Linked DNA regions of Saccharomyces cerevisiae S288C. Changing the gene in region 1 together with any one later gene gives a genetic interaction. Each region holds a gene or a part of one and is shown on either strand. Other genes may lie near its edges.

What was found.
Region 2: of HIS1 (region 1) and FAU1, a mutation in one rescues a mutant of the other (synthetic rescue), as found in Saccharomyces cerevisiae (one study listed by BioGRID).

The regions. Positions count from the first base shown.
Region 1 is NC_001137.3:264,270-267,507, forward strand, and holds HIS1 (ATP phosphoribosyltransferase), read right to left. Parts: upstream 1,517-3,238; coding exon 623-1,516; downstream 1-622. Other genes in the region: FCY2 (purine-cytosine permease), read right to left, coding at 2,243-3,238. UniProt on the Saccharomyces cerevisiae protein: Catalyzes the condensation of ATP and 5-phosphoribose 1-diphosphate to form N'-(5'-phosphoribosyl)-ATP (PR-ATP).
Region 2 is NC_001137.3:552,653-555,629, forward strand, and holds FAU1 (5-formyltetrahydrofolate cyclo-ligase), read right to left. Parts: upstream 1,318-2,977; coding exon 682-1,317; downstream 1-681. Other genes in the region: FMP10 (Fmp10p), read left to right, coding at 1-607. UniProt on the Saccharomyces cerevisiae protein: Only enzyme known to utilize 5-formyltetrahydrofolate (folinic acid) as substrate. Contributes to tetrahydrofolate metabolism in an alternative way of folate biosynthesis.

The DNA.
Region 1 (3,238 bases):
GCTGATACACATTTTTGGTAAAAGACCTCATGGTAGCAGCCCCTTTCCCCTTAAAAAGACTTAATATGGCATACTGTTTTTCTTTTATGCGCTTCATTCCACGGCAAAAAGAACCTTTCCCCGCCCCCACTCTGCGACAGGAGTTTGCCGCCCATCTCCACAATAGGCATAGTTGTCGGTACCTTCCAGCGCTACGTCAGCCTCTTCCGGGCAAAAAATCGACGTAGCATGGAAAAATGCATTCTAGACAGCTTTATGCGTTACGATCCCCAATCTATGCTCCCTGGGGAGAGTTTGTACAGGTTTTCTCCAAAATAAAAATACCTACAAAACTCCGAATATTTATGGGTAGCTCCAGTTTTCGAAAATTGGAGAAATGAAGGGGGTTGAAGAAGAAGGTTTCATGAGCATGAAGACGGTAGTAAAGCTGACAAATATGCTACGAAGATTTAACTTCCTGGGGAAGTAGCAAAAAAAAAGAAAAAATATTCACAGAGATAACCTCAAAACACACTTGGGAAGTCATGAGGGGTAACTTAGAATAAGATAGAACTCTATCAAATTATTGCCTATAAAAAATACAAAATTAATCGGGATTTGGCTTCCCTTTTTCTGTTCTATCTTATACACGACAATTAGAAATTTCGAAAACCATGATATCAGATGCGCCGAGTCTTTTCAATTCATCTAAAACAACACCCTTCGTTTTTCTCTCAATCATGGAACTAACAGCAACCCATCCTTCATCGTCAATTTTGGAAATGGTTGGTGCTCTACGGCCAGGCGTCACCTTCAACAGTTCAGGCAGCTTGTCTTCAGGTGCGTTATAAATACATGAAACGAACCTTTGAGCGGTCATGACACCTTCAATTCTTGATTTGATAGTAGCAATCAAACTCTTATCGCTCTTTGGGTTCTTTGATTCTATTAGGTAGGCACTTGTGCTTAGGACGGTGGCAATATCAACTAAACCTGCTGCCCTCATTGTCTCACCACTCTCTACAAGATCTACAATAGCATCACCAATTCCCAGAGCACATGATGCCTCCACGGAACCACTGACAAACTTTATCCTTGTGGTCATTTTTTCAACAGTAGTACCTTCCAAATCGGCAAAGTATTTTTCAGCAAGTTTCACGAAACTGGTAACAATGGTTTTGCCAATTAACTGTTCTGGCTTTTTATACTCGCCATTTACGGGGACTTGTACCTGCAATTTACAGTTACCAAATTGCAAATCGATTGCTAAGTCTACGTCGACGTTAGATTCACGAACTTGGTCAACACCAGTTATACCAAGATCACATTTACCTTCACCAACAAAAGTTGGAATATCTGCAGCGGGCAGAAAGACCAACGCTACAGGTAAGCTTGTGCTTAGTGCAATGTCTAATCTTTGAGAGCGGTGAAAGGTAATATCAGCACCATTCAAAATAGAAACACTTTTAGAATATAAACGACCTTTCTTTGGGATTGCAAACAGTAGTCTATCGGTTAGATGGTTCACCAAATCCATTTTTCTATTGAATTTTTTAGAAACCTATCCTTTCTTTTCTATTTTCAAAGATTCAAACCGTTAATAGGAGTAAAATGCCAAAGTTTAGACGGTAAATACTTGCAGTTCACTGCGTATAAATGGACTTTCAGGCGAGTATATTCTGCAAAAATATTTTATAAGTTCCAACGGTAGAGGTGACTCACTTGGAAGCTTTTTTTTTCAATCGTTGGCTACGTGCGTACACGTGTTTTGCGGTCTCGCTTCGAAATGCCGAAATGAAAGAATTTCCGGGAAGAGTCACGCTGTTATCAATGACTTTGCAACTAATAAATTAACTAATAAATATTTTAATTAATTTTTTGACAAGGAGTCTAATACCTCGCATGCTAAACAACCTCTCTAGCCGGGTTGCCGGGTTACATCTCGTTCTCTTTACGTTCACATAGTCACATAACCACTAGTCACCTGTGCATTCTTACTTTTTTTTTTTCTTTTTGGCTTTTATTGTAAGACTGATATGCAGGCCACAAAGTCTCAATTAGGTCGCAGCCGTGCAAATTGTCTTGGCATTTTTGAAGTTTTGTATATACCATAGAGATTATCTTTGATATGTTACTAATATTGTAAAATACAGTTTGTAGCTATTTTTATTAAATGAGATGTCTAAATAGTTTACATGAAATTGCATCTATGATACATGACGTGAAATGTGCACGGGGAAATGATCGCCCTAATCATTACTTCCTAACGACCGAAGTATTTTAATTCTAAAGGTCTTAAGATGTTGTAGATGATGAAGGCCCAACTTGCACCCAACTCGAACCCAATGTCACCACCATATTTACCAATTAAGCGGCCAATTTCACCAACCCAATAGGTTTGACACATACCCAATGCAACACCGAAGGCACCAACAATTAAGGCAGCAGTACCTGCGATACCGATAGGTAGATGCTCCCAATTATCCCAATCATCAATATTGTAAGCACTGAAGGAACGTCTGTAGAAGAAATGTTCTGAACATGAGATGGCAATGTAAATAGCTAAGTAGTAACCGATAGAATCCATGAAATTCTCCATAAAGCCATCAAAGTAATAGGTAGCAGGGATGGAAATACCTAAAGTGGCAGCATTACCTGCCATTGTCCAGACTACTCTTGGTATTTTAGCCAAAGGTGCCCACAAAGCTTGAGCGGATAAAGCAACAGTATACATATTTGGAATATTATTTGCAATAGTGGACAGAGCTAACAAAACGCAGCAGAATTGACCAAATCCGTTCAGAGAGTTAGGAACCAGGATAGCATATATGACACCACCCATAGCATTTTTGTCATAATATGCCTTCCAGGTTGGGTCATTAAGAGCAGCCATAGCAGAAGCAGCACCAAGAATCATGGTGAAAAATAGAGGGAACGCTAGACCAGCAACTAGGGAGAAAAAAATCTTGTACTTGTTTGTACTCTTTGGCATATAAACAGTGTAGTCAGCTGCATAGGTCGTCCATCCTGCGGCAAAACCGAAAATAGATGAACCAAAAGAAAGAACACTACCTGCAGTAGTTGCACCTCCTACCCATTCACCACCTTTAAACTTTCCTGATCTCGATAGTTGGGCAATAATAACCAAAAAGACGGCAAAATTGGGTACCCATGACCATTTCTCGTATGCATGAATGACACTGTAACCAAAAAAAGTCACAAGCACGGTACCACCAATAATGATCAGACAACCGGCCCA
Region 2 (2,977 bases), 290 kb from region 1:
GTACTTGACACAGCATATGACGTTCACGGACTTACTAGCTTATTGGAGATATGATGCCCTACCCAAGAACGCAGATGAAGTCGTCAAATATCACGCTGATCTGAATAGACGTTTAAATGGCCTACCCATAGTAAAACAGTTGGAGAATGCTGGTTTTGTACAAGTGATTGCTAATGAAGAGGAGAACTTGTTAGTGTCAAGGGCATTAAATACACCAGGTGGCGTCGCTATACCACCAAGAGTTTACTACAACCCCAGTAGGCGTGAAACTGTCGGGCTATACCATTTAGGAATGAAACTTACTGGTTATCCTTTCTTAATTCACGGAGGCATTTTAGCAACAGTTATTGAAGATTTAATGAAGGAGGCCATTAGACTCGAAAAAGGAACAAAAAATATAAACCAAGAAACCAAGAATTTGAGTATCTCGTACAAGTTCCCCACGTTAGCTAATCAATTTGTTGTAGTAAGAACCACCGATCTTCAGCAATACGGTAACAAAACTAAATTAAAGGCTGAACTTATGGACCAAAGTGGCAACAGGACATTGGTCAAAGCTAATGCCACGTTTTCTAGCGAACAAGGGAATCCAAAAGAAGAAAAATAGATTTGCCGTCTACTTATTTATTTATTTATTTATTTATACAATAGCTGTACCATGTAAATAATACATATATGAAATTATTGAAACCAATGTATGGATCCATCTCCGCATACTATACAATCCATGGAATAATCATGTTTTTCTAAAGGAATTGGAGAGGCCACCTGTTCCATAAGACATAGTCCAACTAGGAGGGGCTTTTGGCCTTCATGCAGTATCTTATACCGTTGGAAAAAATCGTCATAATACCCAGCACCGTGACCCATCCTTGCACCAGTTTTAATATCAAACGCCACTCCAGGCACCAATACGACATCTAGAATATCTGATTCCTCAATATGCGGTTCAGGCTCTTTTAGTTGATATGGACCTTGAGGCTTCAAATCACGAACCATTTTCAAACTACTCATTCGATGGAATATTAAATGTGGATGATGATCTTCCCGTAATTTGAAGTGTTTCGATTCAGAAGTATGAGTACATCTTGGCAGAAAGACCTCCTGGCCATCTTGAAATAAATTCTTAATGATTTCTCCAGTCGTTACTTCTCCTTTATCCATGCTCATATAACACGCTACACGCCTAGAATTGGCGGAAGCGATCAATGAGCGTACTGCTTGAGAAATAGTATGCGACTCTGCAGCGATAATATCGTAGTCAAGAGCATTTATTACCCTTTTGATTTGACGTCTCAGTAATTGCTTAGTGGCCATTAATTTTTTGTAGCTATATAAAGATAGCGTAGCTGACAGTAATTTTTATTTTTGCCATTTCAATGATTAAATATTATTCGGAAGAAATCTGAGAAAATTATATATATCCTTCAAGAGAATGAAGCTGCTAACTGATTAATAAAAACAGCTTTAATCACAAATCTCTCACGACATGAAATAAAACACCCTTGCAAACAGATGTGGAAGACTGATTGCCACAAAGCTTCGGGCTCGCAAGCAGAATGGTTTTCAGGAAGTGACTTACTAAGCTCGAATATTGTCCTAGATAGCAAACAGGCCTTTGATGGAATCAGTTTGTCTCCTGAAGGTTTTTTTGAAATAAAATGATAAATGAGAATAGCAGACCAGTTCTACGGGTAGGATTGAGATATAAAACGAGAAAGGCACTCTCTCACTGAAAAGTAATGAAAAATTATCAGAACTCCAATCTGCTGTCTTTACATCCTCGAGAATATCGCTAAGCTATCGATACTACGAATGATCCAGATACGACAGTCTTCGCTGGCGATCTTTTTGGACTAAATTTGCTCACTGATACACTAAAAAGCCTACGCAACTACACAAAGGTAAGAAACCACAATCGCTACCCATTAATCCTTATTGGCATTGTAGCCCCATATAATAGAAGTGAAAGAGTAACATTGCGCCATTTTTCGCTACTAAATAACCTCAAGAAATGTGTCCAGCTTATGGTTCCCATAGAGCGAGAATATATGACTTAAAGCATATCCCTGAGTGGGTTGCACTGGTACACACTCTGTGATGGTGGAGCACATTAATTAAAACTCAAAAAAATTATCACGATATGGACAAAAATCTAAATGGGCAAGTATCTCTCACAAAAAGACCTCACGTATTTTATGAAATTACAAATTGACGTATTTCAACCTTGTTTACTCTAAAGTTCCCCCATATAGCATAGGGGTGCTTTGGGTTTATTTAATCGTCAAATATAGTCCGATTTGTCTCATTATTCTTGTGTCGGAAAAAAATTTATTGAAGCGACTACTACCTAGATATTCTGCAATTTTTCCTATAATATAATATGCCTCACCCCAATCAGTCCCTCTTTATGACAAGAAATAAGACTACAGTGTTACATCAGATACTCCACATTCCCCCTATCGAAACCCAACAAGAGCGCTATCTCTTATACAACATTTCACAAAAAACATGTGATATGCTTTCAATTGATCCTATCAATATCAAAATTATCATTCTCACTGCATTATCCTTCATTTTCGTTAGTGCGCATCCTCCATTTTGGGACGTGTCTACCAAATAAAGAATGATGCGAGATACAAAGTAGGTGATAACATCAGAACCCGGTGTTAGAATGCAAGGTATAATCAGCAAAAAAAAAAAAAATGTGTAAAAAAAAAAGGTCGGTTACCAGCTTTACTAAATGTTTTCTATTGAATAAAATCATAGAATTCCATAAGTGACTGTGACATTTTCCACCCAGTTGATACAGTTCAATGAATTCTCACTGCAGCTATATTTTGGATGCTTCTCCACTTTGTAATATACATTGTGATGTTTCTTTGATGAAAGATATAAAATATTAAAAAAAGTTGATTCTTACATCTCATCTTTGTCATAAAAATCCTCTGGAATGGCACCTTAGAATTTCTAGGCA